2 linked regions of the Daphnia pulex genome follow. The protein of the gene in region 1 interacts with the protein of each later gene in a pairwise test. Links are inferred from orthologs where the notes say so. Each region holds a gene or a part of one and is shown in the gene's direction. Other genes may lie near its edges.

Region 1 (9,016 bases):
CAATATCTCTCTTGAATTCATCGTTTAGATTTTCAACAGCAGAACTGGGGGCATCAAATTTCATCAAAAAATATGTGCCTTCTCTGTGCCATTGAGTGTGAGCTCTAATCTTGAATGGAAGAGGTTTAGTTCCAATGGAAATGAATTGACGAAGTACTCCACCTTGCTGTACTATCGTTTCAGCAGAACGTTTCAGAGAGGACACTAATTCTGGTTTAGAAAGTACTCGCAACATTAAAGATAATTCATACGAAGGCATGATGAATGCGTTATGATGAATACGGAGCGGTTGCGTTGCAGTTTTATTATTTTATTTGTATTTTAACTGATAGAATAAAAAACGGAACAAATAGGATAAAGTCCGATTTGTCGTTCAGACTTCAGAGCTCAGACTTCAGAATCAGATTTTGTCTGCTTCGAAGTCGAGACACAAAGCAATGCCGCGATGCCATGTTGATAAAATAATGATGAATTTTAATCCGATTGATTGATTTAAAGATAAAATTACATTATTACATTGTAAAGGTAAAAAATAATAAATTGTTTTCTGTCTTTGGACTACAACTAAAACAATAAATGCATATATATATATTTAAAAAATACACCAATAACACTTTGAAATTCGTCTGCTACAGCTGCGATAAACCGGTAGACGTGACTTCATTTGAAATCCAATCTTTCACATCTTGAAAATTGGAAAAAATCATTAGTTCCTTTAGGTTTTAATTAAAAACAAACAATGATAATCGTAGCTAAATTCATTCAGAATCAGAATTCGGTAAGTTGAGATTTTTCAAACAATTCTTGCCTATACCGTCATTTAAATAAACATTTTATTTTCTTTAGTTATGTAATCAAGTTCGTCCTTACCTAAAGAATGCGATCCAGCGAAATTATGTGGCCGCAGTTAAGCCTAGTCGGATTCAATTGAAATGCTCTGCATTCTCTAAATGTTTTAAGAGTTTTCAACCACTTACCAGATTTGTAACAACTGCTGCTGAGGTACCAACAATACAACAATCAAAATGGATTGGACGATGGCTTGGAACATGTGCTGGCATGTGCTTTGGAGCAGTGGTGATTGGTATGGTTTATCAACTTTTTTAATCAATAGATTTAATGATTTACTGAAATTATCTCTTTTATGACTAAATAGGGGGACTCACAAGATTGACAGAATCTGGCTTGTCGGTAATGAAATAGTAACTTACTTGTTATTTCTAAGTTATTTTATAGCCTATTTCCAGATGGTTGAATGGTCTGCGTTTGGTGAAAGACCTCCGATGTCGCGAGAAGATTGGGAAAGAGAGTTTGAAAAATATAAACAGTTCCCTGAATACAAACAGTATTTTTTTAAAAATTAATTACAGTGTTAAAACAGTTAGGATTTTTAGTCAATTTTCCTAAACAGGTTAAAGAAAGGAATCAGCCTTGAAGAATTCAAATTCATCTGGCACATGGAGTATGGGCACAGAATGTGGGGTAGATTAATTGGAGCCATGTTTGTCATACCTGCAGCAATTTTCTGGAAAAAGGGCTACTTTAATTCAGCATTGAAAAAGAGAGTATTGATTTATGGAACTTTGATTGGATGTCAGGTATACAAGTTAAAGCTGGCTTTTCTAAATTTTCTATTTTTTTTTTAAGCTAATATTTTAAACAATTAGGGTTTGCTTGGATGGTATATGGTAAAATCTGGTTTGGAAGATCGATTCCATGGAGAAGCCGATGTCCCAAGAGTTTCACAGTACAGATTAGCTTCACATCTCGGATCTGCCTTCGTACTTTATTCCCTTTTTCTCTGGACATCTCTACATCACCTGGTGCCCGCCAAAGTAATGGAGGTCTCTAAAGGGGCTATCAAATTTAAAAGATTAGTTCATTTTTCTAAAGGAATCGTTTTTCTGACCGCAATCTCGGGTATAACGAGTTCATCAAAGTATGTGTTAATGGTTGTTTTCTAATTTCATTGATTATTCTCGGATTTTAAAGGAGCATTTGTAGCAGGATTGGATGCTGGTCTGGTTTACAACTCATATCCCTTGATGGCTGGACGATTCTTACCTCAAGAATGGCTAGCCTTGACACCTAAAATCAGGAATTTCACTGAAAATCCTTCTACTGTTCAGTTTGACCATCGTACTCTGGTAATAGGGATAATTAAATTTTTCAGTAGAAATCAAATAAAATTTAAATTTAAACTTTACAGGGGCATTTTACCGTCCTCTTATTATCGTCTGTATGGCTTTTGTCACGTCGCATTGTACTTCCACCTCGAGCGCGATATGCTGCCAATGCACTGGCTGCTATGGCGTGGATGCAGGTACACATAACAAATATTGTTGCATGTGTTTTTTCAGCAATAACAAAGAGTTCGTTTTTCCGCAGGCTTCTCTCGGAATAGCAACTCTTCTCTTTTATGTCCCCACACCGTTGGCGTCTTCACATCAAGCTGGTTCCTTGGTATTGCTCTCAACTGCCTTGTGGCTCTCTCATGAACTCAAAAATATGAAGTACATCCCAAAGTAAAACCATTCGTTTGTATACCGTGGTTTGATTTTCCTTTCACTGCTCTGAGAACGAAATCGCACTTTTCACGTAGTTGTGATGTTATTGAAATAAAATCATTAAGTCAATCTGGAGGTGTTGCTAAACTGTTACTATAATACAGTAATACCATAAAATTCTTATCTGTTTTTAGCGAAAGATTATAATAGTAAAAAAAAATGGCCGATATGTTGATTCAAATTTCAAAGTCTCATTGCTAAAACGCTATTTGTTAAGGAACAATGCTTAAGAGTTAAGATTACGCACAGTTAGAGCTATCACAGCTAATTTAACCAATTGAAAACAAACCAGTTAGCTCGGAACTCTTATGGGAAGAATAAATGATATTCCGTCGATAGAATTAATGAACATCCAAGTTGTCAATTGAATCGCTGGACCAATTATCTGTTTCAACGTCATAAAAATATACTTCACAAGTTAAAGTGATATACTGTAATTTAACACTTAACAGACTTACATAGTATTTTTAATTCTTGATGATTTCATGAGCACCACTAGATCATTTTGCAACTGCCTGGGAAGTTCTAGCTGATGAACATGGTTGTAATCTTTTATCCTCTTTCTAATGGCATGCATAGCAGAATATTTGAGAGAATAGAGAGGGCTTGTAATGTTGACAGTAACTCGTTTGGGTTTTATGTCTTCAGGATTAATTTTCCCACTTCGCAAGTCTGGAAGATATTGCTAAAGCATGGGAATATGTGATAATTTGAACAGATTTTTGAAAGCAAACTGTCTTTTTGACCACCTTACCTCATACCATGCATTTGGTTGAAATACATCTTTTAAATTTGCATTTAACCTTTCATGTGTCAATGCATCTTGAAATAGCCAAGGATGAGCCACATATGTGTTTACATCAAAAAATTCTTCTGGTTCTAAAGTCTTATATTTCACTCTTGCACCTTCATAATTCATCCATATTACTTCTACTTTCCTTTGAGTATGCTAATAATTATTAATCAAGAATATATTAAAAAGAATTCAAGAAATGTACTTAAAAATAAGATGTGACCAACATTGCAAAATCGAACGAAGCTTAATCCACGGCTGGGTTGCGACCTCATCTCACGAACGCCATCCCTAGAGTTTTCTTCATTTATCATTTTCACATCAGTAAGAAACTGTTATTGCTATGTGCAAAATTTGCATGTAGTAGACTGTTTAGTAGTAGACTGTTTTTTTTTTCTACGCGAGACTGTTTAGTTCGTGTCGTCTCAGTTTCTTGATTTGGAACTTTTGTATATGTGTCAAATTTGCACGTGATGCATTTCCTTGTCGGAAGATGCCGTATCAAAAATCGTCTGCACCAGTTTTTGACACGTAAAATAAAAGTTCCCGATGTGATTTGACAAGTGCAGAAAACATACAATAATATCAATGGAAGAAAGCTTTGAGAAAACAAATAACGTTAATAAAAAATTACCGTTGGAGGAATTAGACCGAGATGAATTACTGAAACGCTGTAAGAGCTACTTGGCTTTAGCGCAAAGGGCAAAACAAGCTAGAGATGGTAAGTGCTATATTGATGGCATCGGCAATTTAAAAATATTATCGGATATAATAAAATATTCTTCTATTTCCTTTGGTTTGTTTATACTTTATTGGTTTATCTGTTTTACCTTTATTTCTCTTTCATCGATAGAAGTGCAACAGAGAGAAACTAGCCTCCTTGACAAAATTTCAACACTTGAAAGTCAAGTTATCCAGTTGGGAATACAGGAAAAAACCTGCAGCAATAATGAAGAGGAACATCTGGAATCAATTCAAGACCTTTCACTAACTTCAAATGTCTCTGATTTAGTATCACAATTAAAACTAAAAGATGAAGAAACAAATTTGCTGCTATCTAAAAGTGAAGCAATGCAGGCACAGCTTAAAACTCTTGAAGAAAATTATGAACAACAAAAGGATGGCTTTGTAGAAGAATTAAATAAAATGAATGATGTTTTGAAACAGAGGGGTGAAGCCATTACTAGGCTTGAAGAAAAATGCCAAACAAATGAAAAAGAATTCAAGGTATCCAAATTAAATCTATTTGTTGATCTTAAGAAATTTATTCATTTCTTTTTCATCCGCAAATATTTTTTGACTAGGCGAAAACTGAAACATTCCTTCAATTAGTAGCAGAGAGGGAGCGCAAAATTGAACAGTTGGAGAGTGAATCCAGTCGGTTCGAAACGCAGAGTGAAGTAATGAGTACGTCAACCGTAAGCAAAGTGGAAGAAATTCATCGGATGAAAGATGTTGAAGATTCGCTAGAAGATAGATACAACAAGTTGAAAATGTTGGCAGTAAAAATGAAGAGAAAGATTGCTGAACAAAACACACAATTACAAGAGAAAGATAATCAGCTGACTTTGTTGAAGGCGGAGGATAAGAAAACACATATTCGAAATAATTCGTTAAATTTACAGGTAAAGAACAGAGCGTTTCATTCTCTTATCGTTATTTGAATCAATATTTTTACTTTTGTACCAATCTAGGCAGCTCAGAAGGACATTGATCGATTGAATGATGAATTGGATGCGAAAAAATCGGAACTATCCGTAATGAAGAAAGATTGTGAACATTCAATCCAAGAACTAGCAAATAGTAGGCAAAGGGCAGAGGAATTCAAAAACGAAGCTTCTCTCCTAAAAACAACAGCAGCGAACCTTGAAATTTCAAAAAAAGTGTTGGAAAAATCCTTTCAAGATTTCAAAGTCATGTATGATGACAGTCGGAAGGAGAACGAATCCGAAAAAATCCTTAGAGTTGAATTGAGTAAGGAATGCGATCGGTTTAGAAACGAAATCCGCCAGCTGAATTCCACTATTGACGAACTGAATAAAAAGAATCAAGCTGTAAAGCAAGAATGTAAGAAGCAGAGTTTGTTGGAAATGGAACTTACAGATTACGAGAAATCTGTTTCTGAATTGAACGGACAACTGGAAACGCTTCAGAAGGAGCTCGCTTTGAAACAAAACATTGTCGATCAACACAAGGAAGAAAAATCTGGACTTGAAGCACAAGTCTCTCTCTTGGAACAGCAAGTTGGCACGGAACAGCAACGAGCGACAGATTTAAAAGTGAGATTTCCTTTTATTAGTCATCAAATAATTGCTTCAACTAAGTTTCTCTCTTATGCATTTTTCCCACACAGATGAATTTGGATGCAGTTCAGTTAGAGTTAGATTCCATTCAAAACGAGTTACAACAACAGAGAACCGAAATTCGCAACGTCACCGCGAAGGCAGAATCAAAAGAGAACGAAGTTGATAATCTAAAATTACAGTTGTCCACCGTCAACGCCGAACTTCACAAGCTTCAAACCGGATCATCACTACACATTGAAACTCTCCGTAAACAGGTTGCGGCGCTTGAAGAAGCCGCAGCAACCGAGAAAATGGTCAAAGACAGTTTACAATCTGAATTGTCTGAGCTCCGTGCCGAGTATGAAAATTACAAAATACGCGCCACGAGCGTCTTGAAGAAACAAAAGACGGAAGCGCAACCTTCAGCCACATCATCGAAAGAAGCGGCAGATGATTTCAATACGGATCAAGTTGAACGGGAAATGCTGCAACGAGTCGTCGAAGCTCTTAAGGGGAAAATAGCAGAACTCGAGTAAGCCGTTAGTTTATTGATCGGTTGGTTGGCAAAAAGAAATATTGGTTTTAATTGTTTGTTTGCTCAGGTCGCAGCTGGCGCATTCACAAAGTGAAGTGTCCAATTTCAGAGCGGAAAGGGAACGAACTGCGGCAACTCAATCATCAATCGTTGAAGCTATGCAGAACCGCTTGGAGCGTGCTGAATCTGAAATGGAGGTTATCAAGCGAGAACACCAAGCGCAGATTTCTCGATTGCAAGGGGATAATCAATTACTAGCTTCCTTACATCGAGTATGTTCTACATTCTCACATAAAGCTGCATAAAACATCCATTGAATTTAAAATCTATATTGATTGATTGCTCAGGAACAAATCGATGGGATTAAGTTACGTCATGCTCAAGAAATTTTGGAGCTGCAAAATAATTTAGATGAAGTTGGACTGGAATCCGCAAGATTGCAGAAGATTATATCTAGCTATCAGGCACAGCGGACTGTCAGTCCACTTACAAAAGGTTTGCAATGAAATTTAATATTAATGTAGACTCGTCACTAATTATCCCATTCGATATTTGCTGTTCATCAGCGGGTGATCTGCGACGTGATGAAGCTTTCATGATAGAACGGGAACGTGGCGAAGGGTCTGAAGATGGAAGTGTGACCCGCCGATCGACGCAACGTGAGGACAGTGACAACGACTCACGAAAACCCATTCCTTTGGAGCTCTTGCTGAATTCTCAATTGGCATCTGAAGAAACTGTTGTTTTCCAAACCGAACGCCCAGAAACCATCTCCTTTGAACAGTACAGCGAATCGTTGGCGCTGGTGGAGAAACGATGCAATCATTTGTCTGCTCTGTTGGCGGAATCGGAAGCTAACGAAGCTCGCCTCTCTCAACTTGCCGACGCCCTAAAAGAGGAAATAAGGCGTTCCGAGCGATCTGAAGAGCGACAAAAGCACATCGAAAATCTGGAGTACTTGAAGAACGTTGTTCTCAAAGTAAGAAATCTAATTTCACAACTGTGTTCCATGTTTTAACTAAATTGATTCTTTTCTTTTCTGCTTACCAGTTCGTTACCTTACCTCCTCGAGGAGAAGAGCGTAGCCGGCTGGTCCCAGTGCTTACCACTTTGCTTCGATTGAGTCCAGTAGAAGTTCAGGAGGTCCACCAAACATTTAATCGTACGACAGACGGAATTGTCCGGCCCATTGGCTGGGGTGGCGTTTTCAACTATTTCGCTCCCAATCAATAGTCACGTGTGATCTTTTCCGAATTTGGGTCCTTGATGTTCGTCATACAACACTATAGACCCCCTCCCCCCACTGTCCATTTGAAATCGGTTCGGTCCAACTACTCCATCCATCTCTGCATTGTTGGTAGTATTGGCAGTATTATTTGGTACGAGCGTACGTCGGGTCGCTTTGGTTGAGGAAAACCACGAGAATCGTTAGCAGCCAAGTATGGGAAGCAAACTATGCGTGTGATTTTAGCCGTTGTATAGTGTGAAATCAATATTTATGTACCTTATTAAGGAGAACGTTGGCTACTTTCTGGACTTGTGGAGAGGTGTGTGTTCATTATATAAATAATCCCCATTATGTTTCCTTCTTTCGAATCGGTGATCACTATTACATCTTTTCGGATGATACAGCGAATTTTCATTTTCTCTTGAGCAAAACGACGCTGATAATCGCTTATGGCCTTTCAAAGTTTCTTGACACTCCAAGCTGTAGCGCCCTTTGCAGTATCAATGTGCCATGAAAACGGAGTTGGAAACAAACCATGCACTTTTGAGTCTATTGTCAAGCAAAACGGCTCTCAAAGCAGACATTGTGCACGGGGTTTCCGTTAAGTTGAGCATGTGCATGAGCAAAAGTTCAGCAGGGTAATAACAAACCCCCCGCCGAAAAAGGCGGAAAAAGGCGTCCGACTTTTATAGTCAGCTGCATGCTGCGAGCAAGTATAATCACCGAGAGGATGAAACGGGTTTACGGTAGTAGGTTCGGGATTTATGTCCCGTCATGTGGAAAAAGAGATCCTGCTTGCCGCAAACTTTTTTTAAAAGATCTCTCTGCTGGTCTCCTCATTTTCTACCATATTGATGGTCATAAGAAGTAGGAGGGGGGTTGCGATATTCCGGTTGAAAAACGAGGGCCGAGTTGCGGATACATACGTTTAGGCCTGAAGCCAAGGAGACAATGGGACCGTTTTGTCAGCGTTGAGAGTCCGAATAGCCGGGGCGGAAAGTCCGCCCCGGTATAACTCCAACCTCTTCGCCAGGAGCTCTGCTGTGAAAGTATACGGGGCAGCGACCCAGCAAGCAATCTGCAACGAAACACCCGAGCTGGTAAATGATCGATGATGATTGAATTACATGTCACGCAAATATATAGAAGGATTTCTATATTATCACGGTCTCTCTTATATAAAGTCGGTTGCCTTAAAATCTACGCGTTCTCTTTTTACATGGAGAGAAAGAGAGAGAGCCTGTCTTACGTAATCATGTATACGAGTTAGAGCAATCAAGTTACTACCACTCTCTCGTGTTCTTATTGCTCCTTTTTATTATGCGCACAGTACATCGCATGAATTGGTGTGCCAGAACGCGAATCCGTAACGAAGTAGAGAAAACGAGGGACCGAGACAAGAAGGTGGAGCGAGGAAATAGATATGATGATGGACTACTAGGTCCCTGTCGGTTATGTCCTCCAGTGTTGTTACTATGCGGCCGTGGAATTCGGTTAGAATCTGCCAGGCAATAAACGTGCCGTAAGACTGCGAGCCTTTTATTTTAGGTTGATTCTACATGGACTGGGTGTCCTAGTAGTATATAGCGCTAGCTGGCTGCTTTTCCT
Region 2 (8,339 bases), on another chromosome or scaffold:
TAAAGTGTGTCCTTAAGTCGAGAAAGATAAGGTGGCCTTACCCGTCTTGCAGCAGCTTTTTCGTTCCTCTCGTGGTAATGCTTTGTCGTACTTAAGTTCCAAGCTATCTTCACTCCTCTGTGACGGGCGACATCCCTGACGGTTTTTACCGGTTTTTACCATCTATGCTCATGTTGTGGGCTTTTTGGTTGGCCGCTGGTTGCCATTTCTTCTCAGCGGGACACGCATGGACGGTTCACACTTACAGAGAATTCTCTCAACGATTTGAGGCCGTTTGTTCGAAAAAAAAAAACGAAACATCCAACCAGAATCAGAGGTCTAGCCAATGAATAGATCCAAGCAGGCGAGTTATTCTTGGGACCGTGTTGGAAATCTTGAGCGACATCGGGCTAGATGCTTCACTTTGTGATACGGTGGAACGACCGTTAAAACGAATTTCAACACTTTTGTGTTTCTAAATCTGTTGAAAGAAAATCAAATGCTCATTACCTATGGAATCAAAAAGGAATAAAAATGTTTCTTATTACCTGTGCTTTACGTCATTGGTATAATGGAGGTGATAAAGGTTAGATAATGGAGAACTTGAGCGACAAGTAACATTTAACTGTCTCTTTTTCCTGACGCCTGTTTCTTACTGACAGCAAGTGGATTGCTCCTATACTGGTCTACATAGGTCTGTTGTCGGACATGTGTGCCTAACTTGGAAAATGACGTCAATTAGTATAAAGGAGATTTTAATTTGGTGGAGGTACTACTGCTTTCCTCCTTGATGATTCCACTTAGTACCTTTAGTAAGTCAACAAGGGCACACCATAATAATGCCGTCTTGGAGCGCGTGGAATAAATTCCGTTGGCTTTTGGTATAACAGTAGTAGGATAATCCTCTTCTGCCTCTACTTCGGGTTTAGATTCTTTTTCTTCCTCAATATTGACGACCGTCTGAAAGGTATGTCTAGCAAAATTCCATATGAGATTTTCTGTTGCCTAAATTACAACAAACTATTAGTTCTTTACGTTCTTTTGTCTACTATATTGTGGGAACAACTTGCCTAAATTTTTTTTGGATCAGATGGTTTTTTCTTGTTGACAAAGAGCCTTTTCAAATTCAGTCGTGGCCAAAACTTCCATACGTTCAAATTGACGGGGCTTGGCAGGCCTATTTCATCTTACGGTAATCCAAGGCTCCAGGTTTTCAGATTTTCTAAACTGCAGCAGCAGTTTATTTGATGGAAGGTCGGGTATAGTGACATGTTTGTATTACTTTCTTTCATGGTCGGGTAGTGTGATTGCATTTGTCCTTTAGTTACATTTTGTGCGATCGATCCAACAGTTTGTGAACACTGATCGGCACTGGAAAGAGGTTTCGTCACAAACCATTCGTAGGCCTACCAGACGTGAGTGCGATCGACGCAAAGCAAAAAATGAATCTCTAGAAAGTATCCCTTTAAAACGAAGAAAATTAAACATCTTGTCCAATTATTGGAGAAACAGCTATAAACTTATTACCTTCTTCAATCTGATGATGGGATTCTGGATAGGGAAAAGAAACAAACCAACTGAACATTTCTGGCGAGTGTATATAGTAGGATTGATAGAGAGCATTACATCTTTGTGATGTTGAGTACGTTGGGAAATTGATGCACTTCATAACGACTGTGGTAAATCGTCATTTCTATTGAATTCAAGTAAAAAGTTAGCGGAAATTCTACTTTTTAGAATAATTTTTTTTCAACTCTGCAAGTGGCGGTATTGCTGAATGACAGCACGTCAGTCAGTGGTTGCAGATTTGTCGTCAGGTTCCACCAATGAATTCAGTAATTGAAAAGCGGCGCAGGATTAACCTGGAATGAGAATGGATGTTACTTGAGGTACCAAAAATATCAAAGAAGATTGTAGCGACACCAAGCAATACCTCAAATCAAGAGCGGACCCGTTCTAAGAAAGTCAAAGAGGAAAATTCATGGTAGCAGCCAACGGATTAATACTATATTATCTTTATCATGAACTGCTTGAAAAAAGTATCAATTAATGAGAGTCAAGAGAGAACCTGTAAAATAAAACTAAAAAATATTAAATCATCGAGTTTATTGTCATCAATGTGCTTAGTATCAAAATAATTATGTTATGGTGTTTACCTTTTGCATTCATCCCATATATTGGGCTGAAAAGTTTATGTCTGTAGCTGAACAGCTAAAGCTGTGGTAATACAAAATATTCAGATGAGGCTTGTGTGAAAATTGGGAATTTCCATGCTCCATTAATATAATCTGATGGGACAACAAATCACACAAAGATCATCTAGGAATAGTAAAATACAGAGATGTGTGTAACAATAAACAATGATGATGATGAGATATCAGTCATCCCATGTGATCAGTCTACTCTTCCAGACTTGCTTACATATTATGTCCGTTAAAACCAGTGAAAACAATTAAACAAAGAAACCATGCCATAAAATTTCCTTTGTTTTTTAGATTGATTTTTCAGCTTGGCTTACTGTATTGGACCATTCACCATTGTATCCCTATTGTCACAGGCACCCTGCGGCCTGCACCCTGAAAATGTCAGCTAGATAAATTTTATGAAAATATTTAGTCAAGAATGCAATGAGAATCCTTAGCTCAAAAAGAGTATTGTCTATTCAGCAACTTTATGTAAAAATTTGAAATGCCAATGATCCCATTGATCTATTAATGCTAATGCAACCTTGATGAGATGACAGGCATTGCACACATTAATTATGTAGAATAGAATTGTAACATACATAGATGGGTGTATTAAAGGGTAAAAAAAAATGGTGCTTAAGAAAGTTAGAAATTTACCTTCACATCATTTTGGGGTTGAATTTGGTCCATAAAAAATTAAAAACAAAGAATATTGAACAAATATAAACAACTTTGAGCGGCATTTGCATTTGTTTGCGACACGAGAAAAACAACACATTTCGCCATCTAGTGTCGCAAACAACAATCTTTTTTAAATTTTTAACGAAACTTCACTGGAATTAACGATAGCTTCTCAATTACTGAGCTGACAATCCTGACATCAATTTGATTAGATTTCTGACTTCCCCGTTAATTTGGAGTGGAAAAGAACTGCTTTTACGATCAGTTTACATTATTCAGTTAACTCCCTGCTTCTTTCGAAATTATTTTGTACAAACATGATGGAACATGAACATGTTAGTGATGTTGACTATATGTATATCTCTGCTCGTTGGCTCGTAGTTTCGTATCATATAAACGTGGTGCATGGTTTTACCGTTTTACTTTCAGTCGGCGTTCCGTACGGTCAAAACTCGCGGGGAAATTTTCATAATATTGATGTGCAGACGACAAAATGGTGACTTCCAAATCCATTCCTGAATCCCGAGTTTTAGTTCTCCTCCGAGCCTCGACCCGAGTTTTACTGACAACGTAGCCTTACGGGGAGTTTGAACGAACTGCTAAGTTGCCAACGTCACCGTATCACTCATTGAATAGAGTCGGACTTTTAAGAACTGTCAAATTCAAGTTCTTCCTAATTCCTTCTTGTTTTTGTTTAAATTACTACATTCAGAAGCCTGTGCGATGGGTATGGATTGATTTTTGAAACTAATGTCATTCTTTCGTATCCAAATTGGTTGTAATTACCGGCATTTTTATAGGTGGTCTTCTCAGTTATTTTCGTAGCTTAATCGGTAGCCGAGAAATGAGGATCTTGATTTTGGGACTTGATGGTGCGGGGAAAACTACTATTCTTTACAGGTAAATTGAAGTAAATTCATATGTTTGTTATGTTCTTGCTGGATTGCACATTCCTTTGATAGGTTACAAGTCGGGGAAGTTGTGACCACCATTCCCACAATTGGTTTCAATGTTGAGCAGGTCACTTATAAAAACTTGAAATTTCAAGTCTGGGATCTTGGAGGGCAAACAAGCATAAGGTATTGTTATTTGTTTATTGAAACACCTATTACTTAACTCATTAAACTAACATTGTGCAGACCCTATTGGAGGTGTTACTATTCCAACACTGACGCCATTATTTATGTTGTTGACTCTGTTGATAAGGACAGAATAGGAATATCTAAACAAGAACTTGTTTCAATGCTAGAGGTAAAAGACCACAATAATATAATTAGTTAATTAATTCTTAATTGATTATAACCCTGCTCAATACTCTGTTTTAGGAAGAGGAACTGAAAGGAGCTATCCTAGCAGTCCTTGCAAATAAACAGGATATGGAAGGTGCCATGAGTGTAGCAGAAGTGCATCAAGCCTTAGGTTTAGACTTGCTCAGGAACAGAACTTTTCAGATATTCAAAACTTCTGCAATCAAAGGAGAAGGGTTGGACCAAGCAATGGATTGGCTATCCAATGCACTGCAGAGCCGTAAATAACGCTCTTCGCTTTTTCTCTACCATGTAAATGCTTTGGTTCCCTAATTTTCTCTTAGTTGTTACTTTTTAAAACGGTTTGTTCGCCTCTTCACCATTAGCGGGTGGTGGGCCTCGAATTTGCGAGCATGTTTGTGTGCTAAATTACATTTTCAGAGATGATTGAATCCTTATTGTTCATCTTGAAGTTTGTGAGAGTCAATGTGTTCTCATCATGTTCCATTTCTATCCATCCTCAACCTCTAATATAGATCCAGTTCAAAAGAGTAATTTGTTTTTTTCTGGTTTGTGCAAAAAAATCTTTTGGCAACCTGAAGATCCCTACGAAATCATGCTTGAATAAATTATGTACATGCTAATGGAAACAAAAATAAATGTTTGAATTTTGGCCTTTCTTCAGTTTATAGACTACCTGTTTGAACAACTCGGATGAAAAAAAAATGTACACGATAGCCAACAGGGTGACTATTAGAGCCTTTAGATTAGGCAACAATAGGAGGGGGGGCAGGTTTTTCAAATTCTCCCAATTCCTCGTCGTAATAATTATGGGCACGATACATTTTCAACAACCAAGGGGCTCTCTCCTCAATTCGCGTCAAAGTAACTCCTAAGTCTTCCAGTGTCGGCAGGGAATTGTCAACACAATCGGTAACGTGATCCTAGTTAACACAAACACATATGAGGTAATGCATGGGATTTAATATCAAAATATTTCAAAAGAATCTTACTCGTTCAAGTTTTTCCCATCCAAGGTTTGCGATAGGCCATCCTGGAAGTTTTGCTGTTAAATTGACCTAAAGTATCGTGCCAATAAATAATTCAGTAAAAGTTCAAAATTAAACTAAGGTTTTTATAATACTTACTTTTAACCAGAACAGAGGGGCATAACGCAAATCGTAACGGTAATAGCCCCATTCTTTATCCTTACGCATAACACGGAAAAAATAATCAACTAGCTCTCCAAGTTGGTATCGCTTAGGCCTGTGAAAATTATACAACGTTAGCGAAAGAAGAAACAAATACAATACTGGGGTAAGTAATACATATATACCCAATAGCTTGATAAATTTGCCCATTGGTATCAATGTTTCTGGCAGCATTCAAAATTCCCTGAGCTACGTCCCCAACACATACGGGTTGCTTGATGGTATGTTCTCCCTTTTTCCACAGCGGCATACCTGCACCTTGACGGCGCCAAAATGCAGCATAATAAGTAACGAATCGATCCTCTGAACCATAGATATCCGACGGTCGGAAAATAACTGCTTCGGGAAATTCCTCACGAACGGCTAGTTCACCTGTTAGTTAAATTGAAAATGATTTCTCTGTATTCCGAAAAAATTTATAGTTTCTAACCTCTCCATTTAGCAGACAAAAACTTTGAACCTTCTTTAAGCATAAGAGGTTCAGGTTTCTCAGTTGCATTTAAAGCTGAGACATGGATCATTCTTTCAACCCCACATTCCTTAGCAATGCGTGCAATAGTTCTTGGACCTATAAAATGAATTTTACTGGTTAAGATATATAAGAACATTAAGAAGCGGTTGAATAGAATAATTTGCCTTTCACATAGATGTCCTCAAATGAAAAATTTCGAGTCTCCCATTCCCTGCCAACCACATTGATGACAAGATTGGAATGCTTCAAAGCTTTCCTGATACTATTCTCATCCTTAAGGTTGTAAGGTGTAAAGTAGACCTGGCCCAAGTCTCCACACATCTTCAGTGGTGCAACATCGTAGAAATCACCTCTGTAAGGTAGCACTAGCTGGGTGCCTGTGTTACCCAACTTATTGCAGACAACAGAACCTAGATGACCATTAGCTCCAAAAACAGTAGCTACAACTCCGTTAAAGCTAGATCTTCCTCCAGTTCCTCTTCGAAAGGCCGACATCCGAGAGTTGATGTTTACTTCGGTGCTGTACGACGCCGTGGGTGTGAACACAATCGACGACAAGCTCGCCCCTTTAAAATATAAAGTTGTTCATCTACAAGTTCAATAAATGTTATTTGTTTAATTTAATTCTTACATTGTTTAGAGCTCTGCGAGCATATTTTTAGGGAGGCCATTTTCACTAACAATCACCATCTGTCGGAAGACTGCGATAGTTGGCGACAATTACGGCTAGCTTGAGACATCTGGTGTGAGATAATTGAACGAAATAAGTTGGAATTTTTACCGATTTACTTTGATTGATTGATCCATCAATATCATTCAATGTACTAAGGATCATTTAATCGGGGTTGATCATGAAAATTACCTGGACCGTGTGGTAGAAACCTGTGAATACAATGACAATTTTAATTTTATGTCCGTTTTACCACATTGAGTAAATTGCTGTAACATTTGCTTAGTTAGCTACATAAATTGTAACCTAATTAAGATAAAATAAAAACCCCACACCATCCCCAGAGCTGAAATGAGTTTTCTCGTAAAAAAATAAATAACAAAAACCACTTTGGAAAATAACTCCGCCCCTTGGAGAATCTCGACCAATCAGTGTGCTCCAAACACCCGCAAATTTCAAATAACGATCTTCTCACAACGAATATCATTTTACTATTTTTAATTGAGATACACGATCCATTTTTACCTCGTAATTTACTAATCGCTGTCTAGCAATGGAGGATTGGTTTGACTTTATGTTTACCAACACATCACTCTTTAAATATTAATTCAACGGAAAGATCTATGTACTGTATTTTGTTATTAAACAATAGACTGTTTCGATTCAGGTCTAATTGTAATAATTTAAATGTGCTCAGACTTGGATGCTAAATGAATACTAGATTACCGCTAACATTACAATTGCTGGTAGTACAGGATCAAAAAGGGAATCTGTACGACCTCCCCATAGGCCTACTATGTTAGTAGATTTGAAAGAGTAATTTCTTTAAACTTCAAAATTGAAACTTTTTTTTTATTCTTACAAACAGCTTTTAACACACGACCAGACACAATGCGTGCATAAAATGCAATTAAACACTAATACATTTGTTCTAGAAAAAAAAAAGCCCACAGAAATTCTCTTCATTGCTTTTTGTTTTCTCTCTTACACTGATATTTACTATACAAGTCTAACAAGTTACGAACTATAAAACAAACTCATGTTCATAGACGGGAGAATATAATACATCGAGTCATCAATACTGGGAGGTGAACTTGATTCCAAACGTCGACGTAAAGTTACAACATGGCCATCAACGTCAGTTATTACTAATATGTTTTTTTATTGTTTCAGCTCAAGGGCCCAGACGTGGTGCGGCCATCCCGTTCGTCCTTTGCTTCGCTTGTCTCCATTCGACGGGCAGAGCAACGTGCCGTTCAAATTAGGCTCCTCCTCCTTCGGCTGTTTCACGTACAGAAAGAAAGAAAATAGTAAGCAATTCATTATAGATGATAGTAACGGCATTGGTTAATTCTATTAGTTGAATATAGGCATTTCGCACTTTGCTATTTTTCTCAAAAGGAAATCTCTTTCAGCGGAATAAAGTAAAATCAATCATTGGAATGAGAAGCGAGCGAAGCTCGGCGTAGGGCCGCCCGTGTTTTTCGAGGGTCATGAGTTCACAAGGTTGGTAGGTCGTGTGGCAAGCGAAGTTCAAAAGGGTCAAGAGGAAGCCAGAAGCTCTTATTTGCTGTTTCACTACAATAATAACACGGCCTATACAACTAACCCATCATCAACTGTCCACAGACCCAGGAAAACCTACATCAATATTTTATCTGCCATATAATGTGTTCAATATACTGCAGTATATAGGCTAGCAAACGAAACATTAAGTCCTAACAAGAAAAAATTTACAAACAAAACGCCATGATGTCAATTGAAATCAACGTTTACCTGTTCTTTGTGATGGATGTTGACACTAAATTGTTGCTGCTGGTGTTGCTGTTGATGTTGCAGCTGTAGTTGCTGTTGTTGCTGCTGTTGTTGAGCTGCCGCTTTTTCGCTTTTGCT

Evidence for each region.
Region 2: the proteins of GRIP and coiled-coil domain-containing protein 2-like (region 1) and ADP-ribosylation factor-like protein 1 interact in a two-hybrid assay, tested with the Drosophila melanogaster proteins (2 studies listed by BioGRID). The link is inferred for Daphnia pulex from reciprocal best matches to the Drosophila melanogaster genes GCC185 and Arl1.

What each region holds. Positions count from the first base shown.
Region 1 is NC_060018.1:5,673,850-5,682,865, reverse strand, and holds GRIP and coiled-coil domain-containing protein 2-like, read left to right. Parts: upstream 1-3,851; 5' UTR 3,852-3,948; coding exon 3,949-4,081; intron 4,082-4,213; coding exon 4,214-4,587; intron 4,588-4,664; coding exon 4,665-4,985; intron 4,986-5,054; coding exon 5,055-5,639; intron 5,640-5,713; coding exon 5,714-6,177; intron 6,178-6,247; coding exon 6,248-6,452; intron 6,453-6,527; coding exon 6,528-6,675; intron 6,676-6,746; coding exon 6,747-7,159; intron 7,160-7,230; coding exon 7,231-7,413; 3' UTR 7,414-7,809; downstream 7,810-9,016. Other genes in the region: probable 28S ribosomal protein S6, mitochondrial, read right to left, coding at 1-259; cytochrome c oxidase assembly protein COX15 homolog, read left to right, coding at 847-1,084, 1,157-1,191, 1,248-1,345, 1,412-1,598, 1,668-1,920, 1,993-2,147, 2,210-2,323, 2,389-2,529; von Hippel-Lindau disease tumor suppressor-like, read right to left, coding at 2,949-2,952, 3,026-3,252, 3,322-3,516, 3,588-3,674.
Region 2 is NC_060020.1:4,903,478-4,911,816, reverse strand, and holds ADP-ribosylation factor-like protein 1, read left to right. Parts: upstream 1-3,408; 5' UTR 3,409-3,569; coding exon 3,570-3,573; intron 3,574-3,646; coding exon 3,647-3,746; intron 3,747-3,808; coding exon 3,809-3,925; intron 3,926-3,985; coding exon 3,986-4,097; intron 4,098-4,171; coding exon 4,172-4,381; 3' UTR 4,382-4,766; downstream 4,767-8,339. Other genes in the region: NADH dehydrogenase [ubiquinone] 1 alpha subcomplex subunit 9, mitochondrial-like, read right to left, coding at 4,861-5,037, 5,107-5,172, 5,242-5,359, 5,430-5,676, 5,735-5,872, 5,941-6,342, 6,408-6,447; heart- and neural crest derivatives-expressed protein 2-like, read right to left, coding at 7,608-7,727, 8,223-8,339. UniProt on the Drosophila melanogaster protein: GTP-binding protein involved in protein trafficking; may modulate vesicle budding and uncoating within the Golgi apparatus.